Drosophila melanogaster: one gene and its partners. The protein of the gene in region 2 interacts with the protein of the main gene of each other region in a pairwise test. Each region holds a gene or a part of one and is shown on either strand. Other genes may lie near its edges.

Evidence for each region. Proteins that work in one complex are often made in the same cells at the same time.
Region 1: the proteins of CG13114 (region 2) and Cpr92F interact in a two-hybrid assay, tested with the Drosophila melanogaster proteins (one large-scale study listed by BioGRID).
Region 3: the proteins of CG13114 (region 2) and CG31211 interact in a two-hybrid assay, tested with the Drosophila melanogaster proteins (one large-scale study listed by BioGRID).

The regions. Positions count from the first base shown.
Region 1 is NT_033777.3:20,666,074-20,673,321, forward strand, and holds Cpr92F (cuticular protein 92F), read left to right. Parts: upstream 1-3,497; 5' UTR 3,498-3,657; coding exon 3,658-3,669; intron 3,670-5,062; coding exon 5,063-6,196; 3' UTR 6,197-6,748; downstream 6,749-7,248.
Region 2 is NT_033779.5:9,542,046-9,549,174, reverse strand, and holds CG13114 (uncharacterized protein), read right to left. Parts: upstream 3,365-7,129; 5' UTR 3,243-3,364; intron 3,159-3,242; coding exon 1,878-3,158; 3' UTR 1,751-1,877; downstream 1-1,750. Other genes in the region: CG13113 (uncharacterized protein), read right to left, coding at 4,383-5,000; Cpr30B (cuticular protein 30B), read right to left, coding at 5,697-6,146, 6,217-6,228.
Region 3 is NT_033777.3:11,946,449-11,954,538, reverse strand, and holds CG31211 (uncharacterized protein), read right to left. Parts: upstream 4,860-8,090; 5' UTR 4,735-4,859; coding exon 4,185-4,734; intron 4,113-4,184; coding exon 3,755-4,112; intron 3,682-3,754; coding exon 3,528-3,681; intron 3,290-3,527; coding exon 3,047-3,289; intron 2,817-3,046; coding exon 2,714-2,816; intron 2,358-2,713; coding exon 2,301-2,357; intron 1,899-2,300; coding exon 1,774-1,898; intron 1,713-1,773; coding exon 621-1,712; 3' UTR 501-620; downstream 1-500. Other genes in the region: Hsp70Aa (heat shock protein 70 Aa), read left to right, coding at 1-178.

The DNA of each region.
Region 1 (7,248 bases), on a different chromosome or scaffold from region 2:
AAAGCGCAAATGTAAGCCAAAGAACGAAATCAAGCAATGCGATTGCTATTGCCGTTGCCTTCAATTAGCCATTTCCAAGAGGGCATTTACACCCCGATTGCATCCGCATGGCCTAAAGGCACTAAACGCTTCACTGCATCCACATCGCTGGGCAAACCAGGGCATAGCGTCTGGAATGGCCAAAACCAACTACCAGAAGAATTTCAATGCCAAAATGGTACGATGGGACAAATTCGCGGATTTCATGGCAGTCTTTTGTGTTTTTAACAATTACCAATTAACGCAGATTTATATGACTAATTAAAGAGACCTGCCTTCCAAATCGCTGTTTTCTTGTGAATAGATATAGAAACATTCAATCTATTTCATATATTTTTCAAGTTTTTCAAAGGTTTAGCTGTTTAGCATTTATATTTTGACGAGTTTTTAGACTGCGGAGTTACTGTCTTTTGGTTCGGTGATGCGTGACCAGGCTAGAAGGCATCGGCGCTGGTGTTGCCATGCTAATTCCGATTGCAACTGGTATTGGCCAAGCCAGTTTCCGTTGCGACACGTCATGAAGAATTTTATTGTCTTGCGGGCAGAATTTTAAATATTAATTACAACTAATTGCCGCGGCTAGAAGCAAGCCACGCTTCATTTGCCTAATGGCTTCGCCGGTCGCAAGTGGCCAGCCACTGAACAAGTAGTGATATATATAACACCACCACCCGCTATTCATCTTAATTATGTTGTTTAACAGCTAGTTCAATTAATTGGACATGATTTAGCCATGTGCATGTACGCAATCGGAATCAGAAAACAAACGATTGCAGACGCAACACCTGCCTACGCCAAGGTAATTCCATGCAGATGCAAATGTTCTTTTCCGGCCCATAACTGTAAATAACGGCAATTGAATAAAGACTGAAATCGAGCAGGCAATTTATTGAAAAACATCTATGCAGTTCGCATCCAGACCTGATTTGCATATATTCAAATGGATCAAAAGGCAACAAGTAACTGCTGCCCAACCTACGCCCACTCGAAAGTTTTTTTTTGCTATTCGCAATTGTTTGGCATTCCCTGTATCTTTAAATCCACAAAAATGACTGCAGATACAGAGAATTCTGGGGTCTCGCAAGTGGTACGAAATAGTTTTCAATATTTTTGTTTTTTCTTTTTTATTTGAAGGAAAGACAGCTTGGCATTGGAACGTGCTAAGCCAACAATGAGTAAGCCCAAAAGGGTAACACTGAAACAAATTGCTGAAACAAATTCTCAATTCTACAAACTGGAAAAACGTGTGCATAAACTATTAAAAATGATTTCTGGGATTACTTTTATTTCGTTATACTAGACTTTTCAAATACTTACTATTTCCTTTTCAATCCATTTGTACCCAAGTCAATTAAATTTTATTGTCCGATTTCCTAGCACATACATTTGATGTGATCAGTAGCATTGAAAGATATCAATTTTAAAATACATCCAAGTCTGGCTACGCTTAGATTAGGAATGCATTTAGATAAATTGATTCTGATTGCATAATACGCGTTATTACCAGGTAATTAGTTAATTTTCACCCAGATACCGATCAGAATTCATATGCCCGACACCCGGCCAGTAGCGTTCGCATTGAGAGCCAAGACCATAATTACAGACGCCGTTCGCAAATGGAGCTGGATTGGATCGGGTCGGGTTGGAGCTGAAGCTGAAGGTGGCTGAAGGTGGGCACCTCGACAAATCCACAAATGTGTGGATTGCACTTGAGCCAGTCGAGGCATTCATTCAGGCAGTCGGCCCACAGCTGTCGACAGTGGGCCGAGCTAATAAAATGAAAACAAAAGTGGCACCGGCAAAAAATATAATTTATAATGTTGCGCATACCGCAAAAATGTCAAACACGCCCCAAACCGATCGCCCGCCCGCGCATAAAAACAACAACAACAGCACATGCGGGTTCAAAAGAGCAGTTTGAAGTTGGTTTGGTTTATTCAAATTAAATTGGTGGCAGGCAAAGGCAAACAAATTAAGTTGCCGATACGAACTCAAGAATATGGAGTGTGCCATATAGACTATAAACGAGTATATAGGCGCATATAGCCAACCGCCCTCCCGATTTCGCTTATCGAATGCAAATAATCAAAGTTAGCCAGGGTGCAAGCACTCATTATATTGCAACGGACAAGAGAGGCTCACTGCTGCACTTGCAGAAAAAATGCAATCGGATTTCGGATACGGAATCGAAATTCATTACATTAAATTATATTTATTTCTTTATGTATATATATATATTTATATGTTTAACTGAGCTATAAAAAAATAATAACATTTTGGGGAAAAAAAATCATCTCTTCTCTTTAATAACTAAGATACTCAATAATTGTTAAGAAGTTGGGATATTCAACTAAGATACATACAAAAATTAGTTACAACAGCATTTCTTTCGAAATCGTTCACTCACCTAGCATTCGACGAATATCATTTTCTCTTCTTAGGGATTATTCTTAGTTAAGGATAGCTCATTCTAAGTTAAATAATTTTGATTTTCCGAGTGCATGAGTGCATTTGGGAGTGCAACATCTAGATTAGCGGACAGCAAAGAAATGCTGCAACATGTGGCAACAGCGGTGGCCAAAAGTGAATAGAAAATCCATTTTGCTGTCTTTTGTTTTCCGCTTGCTTCTTTGGGCAGTGCTCTTGTTTCTCCTTTTTTTTTAATTTGCAAAGTTTTCGTTTCGTTTTCCGATGCAGTTCAATGATTAAAGAGGCAAACGCCCAGAAATTGGCCAGCTCACATTTCGTTATGGCCACCATTGGGGCATGTTGCAAGCGGTGGGTAAGAATTTTTTAATTTGATCGAGCGTTGCGCTTGGGGCGGGGCTCTTGGGCGTTTTTTGGAAAGGCACTGATCGATAAGATCGGCCTAATCCCGTGGCCAAATAATGAGTGCTAATTGTCCGCACCGCGGAAGTCAAAGAACTAGCACCCGAAACAACACCAAATAAAATACATTAATCGCCTAATGTTGAAGCCAGGTTGAAACCAATACCGGCAATTAAATCGCGTTGAAAGCAAGGTCATGGCAGCTGTGATTTTTTCCACAGTGACAAACGCAGCGCGGAAACGCACGAGCAACATGTTGCCAGTGCAACTGCAGGCCAGCAACATGCTGCAGCGGCACTCCACTGCAAGCGATTGATACACATTCTTCGGCTGCGATATCCACTTCGGCTCTGGCCAAACCCCGCTTCGAGCCCCGATTAAAGTGGTAATTCGATTACTCTGGAACTGGTACCACACATTGTTCTGCTCTTGCTCTCGTTGGCTTTTGTTGGCTTTTGTTGAACGCCCGATATTGCTGGTGTTGCGGTGTTTTCGCTGCTGTTACCAATGTTGCGCATGCGCCGGCGTCTCAGCCGGAGTCTCGGCTGCAGTGTCTCTGCTCCCCAATCCCCAGTCTCCGGGCTCGCTGGTCTCGGGCGGTATATATTAGGGCCGCCAGCCAGCAGTCAGCACAGTTCGTTAACAGTCCTAGTCGTGGTTCTAGGAGGTTCAACCAGCGTCCAGCGACCAGTGCCTGTGCCCGTGTGTCGTGTGTAGTTAGTTTTCCGTTCATCCGCAGTGTGTCCCCGAAACTCCTTTTCGAAGCTCAATCGTGTGATCATAGCTAAAATGAAGCCATTCGTAAGTATGCGCCATGGGATCGAAAGGATAACGCCGAGCAAGAGGATTAAAGTTATAAATAATATGAGTTGGAGTGTGTAGATTACCGTGAGGAGAAAAGGATATTTGGATTCCGTGCTTGAATTACTGAGATACATTTCTAACTTTTTCTGTTCTACAAATTAGTGATTAACGTCTCTGCATGTAATTTATTTTTCTTAAAGTTACAAAATTTTACCATAAAAGTGGGCAAAAGTTCATTTAATTGATTGATTCTATCATGAAATGCTTAAGTTCATTAAAATCGTAGTTTAATGGAACTATGTAAGTCCACAGCCAGGTTTCGCTAGTTAGAACTGCTTTTTCATTTTCGATCTTTGGGATATGTTAATCGGTATCAAGAGAGAAGTGTGGCATACCAAATCTTTAAATTGGATTTTGTCAGCCGTTCGAAAAGTAAACACTAGTTTGACAGTGACTTGCCATTAAGTTTGAATGAATTCCTGGCATTCTTTTAATCTGTCATAGCGCAATTAATTTAAAATTCAACTGACATTGCTTTTGTAAACTCAATTTATTTCGCTTAAATTCCGCTCCGAACGAAATGGCACCTGTGCATCGTTCAGTTCCATCCGAGAGTCAATTACCATGGCACGTCATGCTAAACGTACCACCCAGCAAACCATCAGCTGCCATGGAACTCCGTGCGAAATCCCGTTGATAAGCCGCTGACATGTTGCATGTCGGACAGTTTATTCAACCGTTTTTCCACCACTTTCTGCCCCACTCACCTGCTGACACATAATATCGTACATAATCGCGCCGCATGCGGTAATATCTTCGAACGAATATTGGCCGACCGACCGACTACTGACTACATATCTCGGAATCAAATCTAACGGTTGCGCTTCGCGGCTCTGAAAAGCGAAACCATTGGAAAAGCGAATCCAGAGGAGAAGCGAGTCCAGGAGAAAAGCGAAAAGATGGGCGTGTGGGGCAAGAAAAGCGAGAGGAAAACGCTGGCGCAAGAGCAAGAAAAGCGAAAAGCCTGTAATTAGGTTAGCAGAGGCGGCTTATAAGCTTCCACTGAGTGACACCTGCGATTAACGATTTTGGGCGGTGGCTACCGCACGAGTAATTATTGAGCAGTCACATAATCCCACGCCTAACACCTTCTGCACTGTGAGAAACATGTAGAAGCTATATGTTAAATAATTTGAAATATTCAAAGAGATGAAGGTACAAAAGTTCTCTAATCGGAATTCAACATAGGCAAAATCAAAAAGATTTTTAATTATTATTATATATATATTTAATATATAAAAATCAGTTCTGTAAAGCTATATTGAAATTTGTTAGTTTTTTTTATCAGCTACATCAAAATTACAAAAAATAATTTCCCATTTTTATTTAGTTTATTGCCGCAGCGTTGCTGATCTCGACGGTGTCCGCCTCTTGGCACGGAGCCGTCTCCACACAGTACCAGCACCTGGACCCGCACAGCCACACCTACTCCTACGGATACGCCGATCCCAACTCACAGAAGCACGAGACGCGAAGCCATGACGGCACCACGCACGGCTCCTACTCCTACGTGGATGGTCACGGTCATGTGCAGTCGGTGTCCTACACCGCTGATCCGCACCATGGCTTCAACGCCGTGGGCACCAACCTGCCTCAGGCTCCTCAAGTTCATGCCGCTCCCGTTTACGCTGCCGCCCACGCCCATGGCGCCTATGCTCCTTACGCCCACGGACCCATCCACATCCCGGTGCTGACCCACGGAGGCGTCCCCGTCGATACTCCCGAAGTGCAGCACGCCAAGGCCGCCCATGCCGCTGCCCACGCTGCTGCCGCCCACAATGCCGGAGGACACCACCTGTACAAGCGGTCTATTTACGGCGGAGGATGGGCCTACGGACAAGCCGCCCATGTGCCGCTGACTCATGGAGGTGTGCCCGTTGATACTCCCGATGTGCAGGCCGCCAAGGCCGAGCACTATGCCGCCCACGCCAAAGCCCTTGGCCATGTAGCTCATGCCCACGGTGCTCCCGTTGAGACACCCGAGGTGCAGCACGCCAAGGCTGCGCACTTTGCCGCCCATGCTGCCGCCCGTTCTGGACATGCCGTTTCCCCCATTAACCACGGTGGCTATCACGTGCCGGTAATCCACAATGGAGTACCCGTCGATACGCCCGAGGTGCAGCATGCCAAGGCCGCCCACTACGCCGCCCTGTCCCAGGCCTCCGCCCACGGAGGAGCCTCGCATGGATCCTGGGATGATGGCAGCTACGACGGACGCTGGGAACAGAGCCACAGCAGCCACAACAGTTACGCCTCCGGCTATGCGCACAAGGGACCCATCCACATCCCGGTCATCCACAACGGAGTGCCCGTGGAGCCTGCCGAGGTGCAGCACGCCCGTGCCGCGCATCTGAATGCGTTGGCCGCCGCCGGACATGGAGCTCCCGCCAGCCATGGTAGCTACTACGGTGGCAATGGACACGAGGATGATGGCCAGTACCACGCGCACTATGACCACTATTAAGTGACGAGTGGTCGGCACTTGAGAGAAGTTTAACTTCCGATCGACGACGAGCATCTCTATACACTCTGACTAACCGACTACCGAAGCCAGCGTGGCGTATGCGTAACGTTGCATTGCGTATTCGCTCGCCAGTGCCACTTTTATACAGCATTCGCAACTCTCTGTCTTTCTATACATTTATCTGTTCTATTACTGCTTCTATTTCTTAACCTCTGTCACAAAAACACACGGAAAACTGAAAGCTACTACACACGGGAGATTGAAGTGCTTCGTTAGAAGCCTTCCTTGCCCGCTGGGTTTTGACCGATTTGGATTTTCGATCCAGTCACAGCACACACATCTCTACCTACCTACCTACATACTTCTCTCTGTACTAGGATTTTCCCTCATTTTTTATCTATATCTTTATCCTCCTGTTACTTCGATTGAGAAACGCTGTATGAGTATGTTGTAAATAACAGTTGTAATCTTTATGTATCTGACCAGATATAGATCTATATTTTATATGAACATGCAAACAGACAAATAAACTGCAAAAATGTATTTGATCACAATTTGAAGTGTTTGGAACTGGTGGTGGGATTGTGGTATTAAGAATTTAAAATCAAAGCCCCAGGATGCAATGTTAACTTACTTCTTGAGATAAGCTTTTAAATTTTGTTGGTAAAAAGCGCAGCCCTAAATAATTAGATAAATATTTCGCTTTACATTTTTCAACATATATATATAAATTAGTTACTTTTTTAATTTAATCAATGATTTCTGTTAAAATATTTCAAAATTTGCTAAGGCTCCTAGACAAAAATTAAAACACTTTTTAGGCTTATTAGATTTAAATTCAATCGAACTTATTGTATTTAAAGTTGGAATTGAAAATTCATCTTCATCCTGAAGATAAAATTCCACATTTAATGATTTTTCTGATGTTTTGTCATGTTAATTAAAAGGCCATCCAGTTTTGGGGCTTCGCATCCATTTACTTTAAACTCTGTTGCATATTTCCCAGTCTCAGGTCAAATGCCGCACCACCCAGAACAACCATCTAAACCACC
Region 2 (7,129 bases):
CTTAAATCGCGTGGCTGTGCAGCCAATCATTTAATTTGTCGAGCCAATTAAACTTTGTATTTGTGGCTAACCAGGTGAGCTGGAGGTGAGATCGAATAACTATATGCAAATCAATTTAACGAATTTTTCTACACATTTAATGTAAAGATAAAGGCAAAATGAAACAAAAAGAGAAACAAACAACAACAACTTAACCTAATCAATGTTTAATCATGATAAATAAACGCGTAATATATTTAATCTACGGCTACTTAATGTAATACATAATACGAAAGCAAAACTAGGCAAATGCAAGGCATCCAAAAACCGAAAACCAAAAAAACCAAGAAACTTTTCCTATTTGCAATTGAAAATGCATTAGTCAGCAAACTTAATCAAAACAAAAAGGCAACCGAATAATACAAGTACTCATATTTATATATTTAAAGTGTAACAATGTGACACATATATTTGTATAATTAGCAAAATTTTGTGGGACCGAAAACAGCACCAACAACTAAAGGAGCAACTGCAATGTATCTACAAGATATCAGGTATCTTGGGCTCTGTTTTTGGTTTACCAGTTGAACATTTTCGAAACGAAATTGAATACGGAAAGGTTTAAGGAGATTTATGGAATCCGAAAATTATATTCTTTAAAGCAACGGATCGAGATTGTTAATGAATGAAGCTGTATATATACATTTTAAAATATCGTATAACTATAACTATATTTTCTTCTCGATAATTTACGTTTAAATTCATAGCTGGGACGACGTCATTATTTCAAAGTGTTGCAATTTATCGTTTTTAGTTTCACTTCATTTACAATGTACGAATATGTTCTAAATATTATGATTTCACTTTTTTATTTGTTATTTTATATGCAAACATTATTGAAAATAAATAAAACCGCACATTCGCATCTTTGCAAGTGTACTATGCAAATTGTTCTTATTACTTCGTTTGTTGAATATTTATATCCTATCAAGTGCAATTATAGTGAGCTACTTATATAACTTTCTGATTTCCATGGCTATTTTTGTGTGTGCCTATAGAAATTTTCTCAATCCGACATCCTTTCTAGATCGTGTCATACAGAAAATTGAAATGAATAAGCTCCACAAATGTAAAACCTTAGAAAATGAAAGACTTGAGCTGGTGCGTAAAATTTGTGAAAATACAAATTGGAAATACCAAAAACAATTTGGATTCGCCTTGATCAACGGTTAAATAAGCGCTGTTTGAAAACATTCATATTGCATAAATCATATATATTTGCATACGAAAATTTATGAATCTAATTTGTGTATATATCTATGCTTATCAAAATTGGCAAGCATAAACCAGAATTAAGCTGGCGAAATGCGTAAGATGAAATCTTATTCAATGTTATCGACAACAAGAAAGTATATAAAAAAATGAATGCAAATGAAGAAAACTTTTTAAATACAAATAATAAAATGCGTCAAGCCGAATTATAAATGATCGTTTTTGAAAAGTAGCAAACTCGCTACTTTATACTATGTATAAAGTATATATATTCTTGATCAATAGGATCAATAGCCAAGTCGATCTGGTTATGTCCGTATGAAAGTCGAGATTTCAGGAACTATAAAAGCTTTTTTTCATAATTTTATTAGTCTTGTAAATTTTTATCTCTTGTTTCATTAATTCTTTTAACAAAATCGAAGGGGGGAAATTGCTACTTTATAGCCCAAAAGTATGCAATAGTTATTTCAACTATAATACTAAGACCATAATATTCTTTAGTTTTTTGTTAATAATTTATTTAATCATCATGTAGTCAACAGGAAACGGGGAGTACATCAATAAATAATGGGATACCTAGAAAACATTCTAGCCTAGACTAATCCTAAAAAACAACGTATGGAACTTTAGTAGTCCGCATATCCCCTTCCTTGGTTGCCATATCCGAAGTCCTTCAGATAATTATCGATGGCCAGATCGAACGTGGACGATGGCTTATCGGGTCCAGAATCGGGACCACCATATGGCTTGATCTCCGGTTGGGGTACGGGATAGGCTTCCGTACGCGGTTGATAGGACTCAGTTTGGCTGGGATATGACTCTGTGATGCTGGGGTAGGAGTCCTTTTGGCTGGGATAGGATTCCGTGGGACTTGGATATATGGGTGTGTGGCTGGGATACGACTCCGTTTGGCTCTGCACAACGGGATAGACTTCCGTCTGGGGCGCCGAGTATTCCTTGGGTGCTTCAACAATAGGATACGATGTGGATCTCTCATAAATGGGAGACGGTGTGGCCACCACAATCTTCTCCTCGTAGGGAGTCTTTATCTTGGCCACCGACACGCCCGATGATGATGATGAAACCGCTGAGGCGGCATACTTAATGCTGGAGGAGATTTTGGGTGCCGGCGCCACTTTGCTCACGAGTGGAACCACTTGCTTTTTGTAGCTTGGAACCGGGGAATAGAAAACGGAGGGAGCTGGCTGAAGCTGAATACGTGGCGGAGTTGGCACACTAGCTGGGTAGCCCTTCTTGGTGCCATACGCAGTGCTAAGCAATTGGGCCAACTCCTCCAGCGTGTAATTAGGAGCAGCTATGCTGGCCACCGCTGGTGAGGAAGCCACCGAGGGAATGGAAGCCGGTGAAGCAGCTGATGCCGCCTGTTCGTAGACCAATGGATATGGCTTATAGGCCTTGGGTCCGCCCACTGGTCCTACCAATCCCCCATAGGATTCGCCTCCGTACTTGGGAAAGTATTTGCGCTGATGGACATGCGTGTACTCCACCTGGCCACCTGGGGCATACTCCCCAATGGATGAGATCTGGGTGAGCGGCTGCTTGGGCTCAGAAGAGATCACCTTGCGGCAGAACTCCTTGCAGCCCAGCTTGCATTCGCAGTAGCACTTCTTGTACTCCGATGGCTGTGTAGTGTAATCCGTGGGCGTGGGTGGGGCACTGGTTGTTGTTGGGTAAATAGGTCCCGGGCTGGTGGCGCTGGTTGTGGGCGGGCTCAACGTAGAGCCTCCGGTTGTTGTTGGCGCTACCGTTGTGGGCACCTCGCTGCACGGCACCTGTTCCCACACCTCCTGTTCACATTCCGCACAATATTCCGGGAAATGGGCTTGGGTCAATAGTGCCGATGCCATCAGCATGGTCATAAATAATAAATTGCAGCGTTCGAACATCTGAAGGGGGGAGAATATTGAATTTAGAATGGGTCAGAGAATTGCGCCGGAATCGTTCCCAATCGATTGACCCCGTTACCCTACCTTTCAACTGAATTTCTCCCTCGCTCGCTCGATCACTTTCCCCACAATTGCTGGAATTTCTGTCCCGGATCGCCGATGGATGGCACTTGTTGGCTGTTGGTCGGTCGCGTGCGAAACTCTTTCATGCATTTTGCTGAATAGCTCTTAAATACGCTGCGCTGGCCGAGAGCTTCTTCTTCTCGTTCTTACAACGCCGAGCAAATGGGTCGCGGAAGCGTTGACCGCATCACGTTCCAAACGCCCCAAACGGCTCGGAATGGGGCGTGGTTGTCCGGAATGGGTCCGGAATGGGTAAAGACAATCGCCAGATGCCGCCGCTTCCGTAATACACATTCAAGCATTTCTGCCCGCACTCGTCGATAGCTTGGAGTGCTCGCGACAAGAGTTGTTTAATCAAAAACATATAGCAAACATATTTATGTATGACCTTTGGCATGACAATAACCTTTAAGAGAAAGACGAACTTCATAATGCATTTTTTTTAGGCAGTTTCTCATTAGCCAGAATAAACAATCCTCCTGAAATCTTTAATTTTATAAATAGCCAAAACCATTCCGACCGCAATGATCATTTTTTCGGTTCTGCACAAAATTTCCAGCTGCTTGGGGGATTTATAATTTCTGGGTCTCGGCCTAGATCTGATATTAACGTCTGGGGTCGATTGACTTATCAATTTTTGGTTGTAATTCTTTGTGGAACTCAAGGTCTACACGTACACTATGGATAATGGTATTTTTGTAAGCGATATTGCTCAATACCTAAATTATCTTCCTACAAATTGAGTACAAAAGCTTTACTGATTTAAATAATAGTATCTTGACCATTTAACATTTTGTCTAGCTCATTATTTAAACAACATTTTGGGAAAACTCTGCTTAAAATTGGGGGCACTCTTAATCTTTTTTGTTTTAACAAAAATAAGCAACATCACTATTTTCATTATTGCGAGTAAAAGTCATAACAATTTTAGCCTTACAAAGAAAAATAGCAAAAAACTCCGATTTATTTAAAGTAGTCCTTTAAAAAAGTACTTTATTTTTTTTACTTTTATACTTTTAGTATTTATTCATTGTCCGAATCACCAGAGATCACTTAAAATCAAAGCCATTTGCACATTTGGATGAGGTGACTTATTTATGATTAATTTAGATTTGCTACACGACTTTGGAAGGGTAAGCCGGGGTAAACCTGAATATCAGGGAAGAAACTTTGATCATCCCGCACATCAGTTTCCATGGTTTCCTTGTGGTCACGTCTTTTTTCGATGGAGCTGCGCTTCCTTAGTTTCTCCCAGCGATTTTGTTTTAGTTGTGTCTTCGGTTTAACTGGCACTTGAATTTGAGATGGTTTTTTAGATTGACCCGGATCGGAAGTCTCGCGAACCGTTTCCGTGCGACTTGCCATTTCCACATCAATGGTGTCAGCTTTACTACGACCACTGGTAAGTCGCCTCAGCATCTCCTGATAATGCGGTTGATCCGCAGTTATGTATTCCGGTTCGTCTTCGGGATTGAGAATCTGGTAGTTGGGGGTGCCCAGTTCGAAGGTGGTGAATTCACCATGCTCCACTTTGTTCTTCAGATGCTGCGGCGTATACCCATACTGCTTAAGTGGAGCCATCCACTTGGCATCCGCATCCGCAACTGTATCCTTTGAGCTTCCCCCCAGGCAGAAGCCAAGGGTCAATAGCAATGTGACCAGTAGTTGTCGTGTCTCCGGGCAGCCGACCATTTTCGCACTGATGCTCCATGGATGCATTGGTCAGAGCGTTAGCCAAATCCAATAGAATCGCCATCGACGACGTCGACTGCGCCGGTAATTGGACGCCCCCAAAGTGGCAGCAGCTACGTGAGATTAGAGGCATCTATGGGCCATGTCGCGTCTGGCGGCGATAGCATTAGTTTATGCTTATCACAGTATCGAAGCCACCTGTATCGTGACGCATCATTTTATGAGACATCAATTCGCAAATATAATGATACGAATTCACTGAAGAAGCCAAACACACAAGCGAGTTGAACTAAGTCAAGCATTTCATTCACCACTTTTTTTTTTTGGTTTTAATAATCTTTCACTTTTTTGTGTCACACTTGTGAACTGTCATAATGTGGTTTTTCTTCACTTGGCTTATATTTTTCTTAACTGATCTTCACACTTATATAAGTATGTTTGCAACACAACCACTACTCAACTACTCATTTTTTTTTTTATATCAATAAAATACCCTCACCCAGCTTTTAAGTATATTCCCTATATTAAAAAATCCAAGTTTTTGTGTTCCTCTGCGAACAGATTGAATGGGATGCATCTTTATTGTAGGTTAATGTAAGCTGTCTGTATGTACACTCAATTGTCTTAATTGTAACTAAATTATGATGTATGGCAGTGAGTTTTCCCGGGTCAAGACGGGTTTCCTAATGGGTTTATGCAGCTGAAGTCAGTCATTAGATCCTTTTAGTACTTGTACTGTGCTGTTGGTCCGGATACAGAGACATAGTTCCCGGCGGACAGCTCCTGCTTGATAATGGCCTTGGGGGCGGCGTAGTGGACGAGTGGCGCCACCGGTAGCACGGGAGTCAGGATCTTGGCGGCCAGGAGCTTCTTGGGTGGCTCAGGCAACGGTATCTTGATGTCCGTGGGCTCACGCTGGACAATTGCCTCGAAACCGTTGTGATCATCCGCCTTGTACTGCACTATGCGGCGATAGCCATCGGAATCGATCAGCTCGTAGACACCCTCGACCTTGTCGTCCTTGCGGGACTCCTTTTGGCTCTTGATGTCGCCGGTGTGGGGATCGTTCACCGACCACTGGAACTCGTAGGCCACTGGTCCGTAGTCCGGCTCCGCCTGCAATTCAATGGCCCAAACGGCGCTGGCCAGGCACAGGCACAACAAATAGGTAACCTAAAAGGAAGACACCACTCTATGCATTAGAATCCTTTGTATCGCACCCTTTTTCCTCCACTCCACTCACTTTTCCCATCATTTTGTGGTATTTTGGTCCTTTCAGAACTCTTTGGGTATTGAAATGCACTCGACAAAGATCGAAATCGAAGTAATTAATCTGGGTAGTCCTAGGCTGCTTATATACAAGCTGGCCAACTGATTACCAGGCCAGAGCTACGCTTCGATCCAACTTGGATGTGGCAATCCACCCAAGGCGTCGTGTCGCTTTGCGGCACGCGCCTCCCAAACAAGATCGCCGACCAAGTGGAGCGCGCTCATTAAGTGAGCCCCGAAAAATTATAATTAAACAAGAAATATGCAAAATGTGGTTCGCACCAGCCTGAGCCATGCACTGCAAAAAATTAGGAACCAAGTTAGGCTTCATGTCGAACGAAATAGTAACCATTCCATTCTCCTAATTCTTCTTTTCTAATGAAAACGACGTAAAACTCACTTAATATTTTTAAGAAATTTCTAAATCCACCGAATCCAAAATAAAGAAATTTAAAAAATATTTTTATTAAAACTTAAATTTATAAAATCTTGTAGTTTTTTTACCCATGACGCATTTGATTTTTCTTTTGCGACGCACATTCGATAAGCATCCAAATGAATATGCCGCAAGTGGGAGAGCTTGATGGTGATCTTAGAGGTGTCGCGCTAGTTTGTCTGGTCCAACCAACAAATGTGGAGATTAATTTACTTTGTCAATAATTTGCAACATTAGGCATTGGGCAACAAGGCCTCCGACTGCATTAAGTCATAAAAATAATTGTCATGTTTTAATGGATAGCGCACCACGTCGAATTGGAAATGGGATGGGAGGGCAGAAGTCGGGGGCTGGAACCTTCACAGCTCGGAGGCCAGATCCTTTTGGCAGGTGATCTGTCCGCAACTCGTTTGATGGCATTAGCAAATAATTTAATTAATCGCCATTAGAC
Region 3 (8,090 bases), on a different chromosome or scaffold from region 2:
CGAGAAGGAGGAGTTCGACCACAAGCTGGAGGAGCTCACCCGCCACTGCTCCCCCATCATGACCAAGATGCATCAGCAGGGTGCGGGAGCTGGAGCTGGTGGTCCGGGAGCAAACTGCGGCCAGCAGGCGGGAGGATTTGGAGGCTACTCTGGACCCACGGTCGAGGAGGTCGACTAAGGCCAAAGAGTCTAATTTTTGTTCATCAATGGGTTATAACATATGGGTTATATTATAAGTTTGTTTTAAGTTTTTGAGACTGATAAGAATGTTTCGATCGAATATTCCATAGAACAACAATAGTATTACCTAATTACCAAGTCTTAATTTAGCAAAAATGTTATTGCTTATAGAAAAAATAAATTATTTATTGAATTTAAAAAAGTTTACTTGTTTGTATTATTGGGAACTTAATTCCCGTATTCCCGTATGTCCAACTTTAAAAATATATCTAATTATTATGAGGATATTCGCATAACACATGAAAAAAAAACAAATTTTTCTGAGTTTTTAATTTATTAGGCTGATTTAAAACTGTTTACTAAAAAGCATCTTAAACAGAAGAAATAATAATTATGTAATATTAACAATTAACTTCGGATTTTTACGCGCAAGATTTTTCTTAATGGCGCTTGCGCGGATGCGACGCGGAAGTGGAGGAGTATGCTTTCGAGCTGGAGTGGTGAGTGCTTCGCGACTTGGAGCGGGATCTCGTGCGGTGCCGCTTCCGTCCGCTGCTGCTGCTGCCGTGATCATGGCTACGGTTGCTGCCATGATCATGGCTACGGCTGCTGCTCTGCCGCGAGGAGCGGTGGTAACTGCTGCTACCGCCAGCATCTTCGCCTGAATGGCTGGACTCGCGATGTCGGCGCTGTTTCTGGTGGTGACTTCCACTAAGCTGGCTACTACGATGCTGGCGATGACTCCTATCACGGTCCCGCTCTCGCTCCCGCGCCCGCTCCCTTTCTCTGTCGCGATCGCGACGTTCGTATTTGCTCCGACTGCTGCTGTGGTGGCTGCGGTGTCCATGCCGACTGGATCGCTTGCTGCGGCTGCCTGAAGTTTTGGATCCGCTCGAGGTGCTGCTACTGTCGTCGCTATCGCTGCTAGAGCTGCTCCCACTGCTGCTAGACGATGACGAGGGGGACGAGTGGCGGCGCTTGCTTTTTTTATGCGACGACTTGTTGGCCTTGTGCAGCGCCTTGTCAGCCGCAGTCAGCATGGTGGCCACCGACTCCGGCATCTGCAGTAGATTAGTGGCCGGATTGGGAACGGGCTTCAGCTTTTGTGGGCTGCTATTGCTTAGGCTTCCGGGTGGTGGCACCACAGCGGTCGCCACTACTTGTTGCACGAAGCTCTGCGACTGCTGTTTGCCGTCCTTGTTGTCGCTAAAGCGGGTGGTCCGTTCCTTGCGACTGAGTCTTTTGCCTAAATGATGGCAATGTATGCTTAGGAGTTCTTTGGATTTATGTGCATCACCTATACCATTTGACTGCTGATGCTTTTCCTGGGTTGCTTGACTAGCCGACTCACTGGGCGGTTCTGGATTGGCCGCCGGTCGACGATGCTCACCACCACCAGTTACGGAGCGTTCTAGCTCCCGCTTGCGATGTCGCAGCAGTGTTTGCTCATCAAGCAGCTCTTGCTTGGCCACTCGATCCTCAATGTCGTCAATGACTTTCTCGAAGGATCGTTTGCTGCGCCTTATGCGAGCCTAAAAGCCAAATAATATTGAGAATTGATATCTTTTGATAATGAACGTGTGGCTAACTTACTTTCAACTCCTCCGCGCTTAGCTGCGCGCTTTTTTCGGCATCCTTTCCAGCGCCCGCTTGACGCTCATCTTCATCATCCTCATCATCCTCGGTTTCGCTGGAAGAATCGCCATAGGCAGCTAAACCTATAATTCAAATCAGTCAAGTGCTAATTGTTGCTACCAGGCTTCAATGTAGATCGGGCGCAGATTTTGGTATATTTTGAACTGATTTTCAATATCTTCGCAAGAATTTACGGAAAGGTGAAAGGAAGGGGAAATGGGGAAGCGAAAGGACGAAGAAGCGGGCTAGAAAGACCAAACTGCGCCGAGGGGGTCGAAATCATTTGGCCATGGCTTAAATTTACAGGAAGCATAGAATGTTAAATCTCGGCCATAGGAGTAATCCAATTCTTTGTAATATCTTTTCGTTTTGTGATTAGGATTTGGGGTATAGAAAGACAGGATGACCAAGCATAACTCAGACTACCTCTGAACAAAAATAGTGCAAAGAATATGTATGAACTAAACTGGAATTTGGTTACTTACCCAAGTTGCCGGTAATGGAGGACAAGGCGCTTTTGCGAATCACTTGGGCTGATGACGCTTTTGATTTACACATACATACATATATATATATAATTATATATATTATATATTAAAATTAAAAAATTCAGCAAGTGATTTCATTGGTTTGTGTGGTGTTCGATATATCAATTCATTATTAGGGATTTAAAGATTATTAGCATAGACATAGGATTAAAAGAGTTGGTAACGCGCTGTGAAGCCGGAAAAAACACGACTCCAATCGCTTGGCCGAAACATCCGGTCATCCAAGCTACAATCGATCCGCGATATATCCGCGCCGTCTTACGATCTATAACTACTTACACACACACACACGAGCGCGAGCGCTGGAAGAAATCGGTTTGGGATAAACTTAAGTATAATGCATAATGTACCTTTCGCACGGTGTGCTTTTAGAGTCTCGCCTGCAATGGCTGCAATCTCTTCGTTCGTGGTTTCCAGCAGGATTTCGGTTAGTGTCCGACGCACCACAAGCATCTACAGATGGGTGGTATTGGGTGTTCATATTCATTGTTTGCAACTATACAAATGGGTTTTTTTTTTGGATGTGCCGCCGATGGCCAGGGAATGAAACTCTAGTGAAGAGTGAACGAACTGCAGAGCAGCCAGTAAAGTGTTGTCAGAATTCCGCAGTTCCTTCGCCTCTGAGACTCACTCGATTTCATCGCCTGGCTGAGCAAACATCCGGGTCAAATGGTGATGCCTACCAGATCCGCCAGTCTTTCTTCGTAGTTTTTACCATTGACATCGTTTACGGTAGCCATTCTCACGTGCTCCGCCACTGTCCGATTGCCGGTTTCGATGGCTCCATGCAGCTCCGACTCTGGCTCTTCGCTGCTGCTGCTGCTTCGATCGTCGTCCTTACTAATCAATTCATTACCTATTTGCTGCACCTTTAGTTCTCCACGCGCCTCCACAGGCACGTCAATGGAATCTTCGCTGTCGCTAGCCTGAATTTCAAGGGAATGTTTAATCGACAGCCTGCACTCAAGCCTGCAGTCTGCTCTACTGTCCGGATTGTTTTTAAGTTTTGTGTGCTTTCAACGACGAAACATCGTTTTCAGTTTGGTTCAGTCCCGTCTAAATTTTGTGCAACCAATTTGTGTGAGATGGTGTGTGCTACGCTTTCGGCACTTTTCTGTCCGTATTGAGAGTCAGTTAACCCTGCCGCCCATCGACCTTACTTACCACGTTCGCGATGTTCAAAAGATTACCAGGTGTGGTTAGTGTTTTGCTTGATACTTGCTTAACATGGTTGACCTCAACATCTGGCGTGGTCATGGAGGATTGCTGGCGCTCTAGTTGCCGCTGCTTTTCCCGCTCCATTTTCTCCAGGCCCTCTCTGAAAGATTAAGGAAATTATTACAAGTATCTATCTTTTGTGCATCTTATTGTGGTTCTTTGCACACTCATACCTTATCCAAGCTGGCAACATTTTCCGTTTGTTTGCATCGATCTCACTGCTAGCCCCGCTACTTCCGCTTTCCGCATGCGTCTGCTGTGTGTGCTGTGGCGGCAGGTGTGTATGTGGTGTTAGGTGGTGTGGATGTGCATGCGGCTGATGTGCTGGTGGATGGTGTGGATGCGTTGGTTGGGGAGCATGCTGCTGCTGCTGCTGCTGATGCGCTTGCAACTGCAACTGCAGCTGTTGGTGCGGCTCATTGGGATTGCTCACGTTCAGCTTCAGCAGAGATGGTATATGCGCCGTGGAATTGCCTGATTTGTCGGTCTGCATTTGCCACCCGGTCCATGGCTGCTTGCCCAGCGTGACAGCTGCAAGGAACGGAGAGGAGGGTTAGTTGCTGACCTGATTTATTGTGCTATCTTCTTGGATCTTCTACAAACCCGCTCCGTTGGAGGCGTCTGGGATCTGACCAGCCACTTCGGTGCCCGCCAGCCATTGGGATTGCGTAACCAAAGGTGCTGGCGGTGGGGGTGTCTCAGTGCTATGTCCCCGATCATTCTCATCGTCCATGTCCATATCCGCCTCGCCGTGCTCCTCTAGTTGCGGAAATCCCGCCCTGACCACACTGGGCACCGGCATTGCTAGCGTCTGCTGGTGGTATTCTCGCAAATTGCTGATGATGGGCGGCGGAGGGGCCAGGGGCATGGGCACCGGAGTAGCGTCCCGCATGTGGATCCATTGCTGGGCGAGCTGCGCCCAATCGATGCCAACGCCACCCTGCATGGCGAGCGGCAGGCCGGCGGCTACCATGGGCGTCACCATGCCCTGACCGCCCCCGGAGGGCAGTGAAAAATGTGTGGGGGGTGGTGGGGGCTGCGCCAGGAACTGATTGTGATTATGGTTGTGCCCATGGCCATGTTGTCCAAGTCCATGGACGTGGGCATGCTTGTTGTAGCCCAAATCGGCGTTTCCGTTTCCACCAGGAAACATCTCTGCTTGTAGTTCGAATATGCTCTTTAAATCCCAGCTGTATTCCTCAGTTATCGAGGTTTTCTTCACGAGTGAAACGAATTTTCGTCGCCTTCTACGCCATTTTCTTGCTCAGCCCGTTTTGTCATTCGCAGCGAAGCGGTAACAGCGGGTCGCTCATATGACGGTATTTTTTAATACACTTCAGCTATACTGTTATTTCAAAAACATATTTCTTTTGTTACTTTTTATGCAGTTCATTTGCCACCAAAAAGTAGTCTTTTGGATTGATTTATTTCTAAAAATGGTGTAATTCAAGAAATTCAGAGGGCCAAGTAATATACTTAATGACCGTTATTTAAAACACACTCAAGGAGATTTATTTAAACGGCTACAATGGTTTTCCAAATAACTTATTTACTGTTGACTTCTATAAAACATAGGTGTATATATTATTATTTTTTATTGATTTGAGATAATTTTAATTTCCACAATATTTTTTCTTGTGATTAACAGAGAAAGTCAAACTCATAACATTTATCGGGTAAAAGTCTCTATGAAGTAGAGGTTAACAGTGAAGTCGCAAAAGTGTGGCCGTACGCCAATCGAGCGAGTATCCCTAACCTGCAATATTTTTAGTTGGTTTTTTCAGCAATAGCCCCACTTTTCTCAAAGAGTGCAACAAGTGATTCTGTTTATGTTTTCAACAACTTCTCTCTGCGGAACTTAACGTGAGCGGACGTATGCGGACGCGTCGCTGCCGGAAAAATAAGTTGCGTCGGCGTTGCGGCGTTGTTGTTTACGTGTTATAATAAATTTGTGTGCGTGCGAGAAGGGCGCGCTCCTGTCTGTGTTGGTGTTATTGTCGGTCGTTCTCAGCGCGAGTTTCGAAATACCGCATTGTTTAATTACAGCCGCCGCGACTAATTTCAATACAAACAAAAGCTGGTGTGTGAATGAAATTATGCTAAAATAGATAATAGTTAAAGGTAAAAGAAATTAAAAGATGAAGAAGGAGAAGAGGAAGAGAAGTTCTGCAGCGCAGTTGCGTCGGCGCAGCAGCGTTTCTATCGGTGTGTGTCTGAGTCTGTCTGTAGTGGTTTGTCTGGTTTTTTTTCGGGCTGTGTGTGTTCGTGTTTGCCAAGCAACAATTTAATTGCTATTCAATTTTAAAAGCAGTTCAATTGCAAACCATTACAAATATGTAATTTGCTGTCGATTGCTTTTGCACTGGAGTGCGTAATTACATTTTTGAGCCACCAAACACCAAACAGTGCAACTGTTGCCGCTACACTGGGAGCAAAACAGGACGGATAGATGATCAACAGTTCGTTGATTTTACAAAGACAAACGTTTTATTAATATACTTAGCATGTGATTCGATTTAACTGAAAATATATACAAATATTTAGTGGTTGCAAGTTTCTTTGTCATGTTAAGGAAACAAAAGTTCAATTTACGTCTTTATCTATATCAATCTTTCAACCATCAAAATAAAATAAAAAAAAATGAAATATCAACTTAATCTCAGAAATTTGGTATCATACGCAGATCTTGATTTTCTGTGTGCTCTGTAATGGCGTAATCGTAATCTTTGTGCCCCCTTTTAATGATTTAATTAAAAGCGTAAATTGCAGGCCGAAATTCAATTTGTCCGTTTGACTTTTCAATTCGTGTGGGTGGTTCTCTGACATTGGATCGTTGTTGTTTGCTTTTATTTAATTTTTTTTTTTTTGAGTTTTTATTGTAGTTGTGCAACAACACGCACACACACGTAGTAAATAATTAAGTTCGTGCGTCGCGTGCCGTTTTGAATTTTCTTTTTCCTTTTGCTGTGGGGCCCGGAAAATGTTCTCTTCTCACTGCGCGTTTATTTGCATTTCCATCAATGCGAAATTCGACTCGTATAAAATACAATAAAAAATCGTTCGAAAAAAACCAGTTGACCGTGAGATAACTCGTGCATAATTGCTAAATAGCAACAAAAAAGAAATATAAATACATACATATGTGAATGATTGAATTGCTGAAATGTTTAGTGTTTGTGTTTTTTTCTCCTTCTCTTCTCCCCTCTGAATGTGTGCTTGTGTGTTTGCTTTTGCCCTTCGTCAATGAATAACGGCACTTTGCGAGGTGCGAAGTCGAAGAAGAGCAAACAACAACAAATTGCCATCACCTTTGTCAGCAGAGAGAAGCCAAAAAGCAACAACTAAGCCGGCATTGGAGAAGACAAAAAGAGAGAACAACAACAAAAATAACAACAAAACGCAACTGCGACGTCAGCAGAGCCAACGAAGAAGAGGAAGAACCAAGCCTTGGTGGCCACATTCCAACGTCATCAGCCGGCGAAGGCCGGTGCAGCCGCCAAACCCGGGTCACAGAATTCTTTCTTTCGCCGGAGAACTCACCTCTCCCCAACTGAAATTGCTGAAACAACATCTGCGGGTAAGTCAACTTTGACAGTACAGACAGCACTCGATAAGTGGCACAAACTTTCAGTGGGCTGTTGTAGTTGAGCTTAAGCCTAGATTTATGTACCTTTTTGTCTCTTCTACGAAGTAAACTTGCTTATGTTTTGAAATAACGTGGTTTAGTTTCAGCCATCCACTGCACACTGTAGGTAGCAAGTACATCAACGTCAATTTTGTGTTGCTCTCCTTCCGCGTTCTTGTTGTTGCTGTTGCTGGGTCACGCCCACCGCCATGAGAAAACATTTTTGCGTAGAAATTACATATTGTTTCGTTTTCACATCCCAGGAACCCCACCACCGCCCAACTCCCCGCCTGCTGCCCACCTGCACCATCGTGTTTTGTAGCTTGGTTACGGACTGGTAGCCCCCTGCTTCTGTTACCACGATTTCGGCGAGCCTCTTGTATTTTTATGGGTCGTCATCCATCGTTGTTCTGCCAAGCGCCTGAGGAAAGCCCCTAGCCCTCCATCGCCATCTGCATCTCCCGACTCCCAACTCTCTGCTCCATGTTTCACCTCCCGTATCATCAGGTCTTCGCTTTCTGCTCATCAAAGCACAAAAACATTCAACGGCCGGGTGCCTCAATTATGTTAATTATGAATTACTCCCCGGCTGTCTCTTTTGGTATACGGCTGCATGGTTGGGCGTGTTTTTTAGTTGGTCTGCTAGAATGGGGGCTACGAGCTTAAGTGGGGAGCGCCAGTTTAATCGGTTACGTGGGCCATTGATATGAACCATTGCTGATTTCGACGATCCCATGGCAATGAATTTCCCTCCCTATATCCACACAAATTTTGAAATATCTTTCTTGTACTAGCTGTTCAACGGGTATATGATAGTCGAGGATAGTCGAGCATCTGCAGACTGCAATATTCGCCACCATACTTTAATTTTATCCGCCATTGAA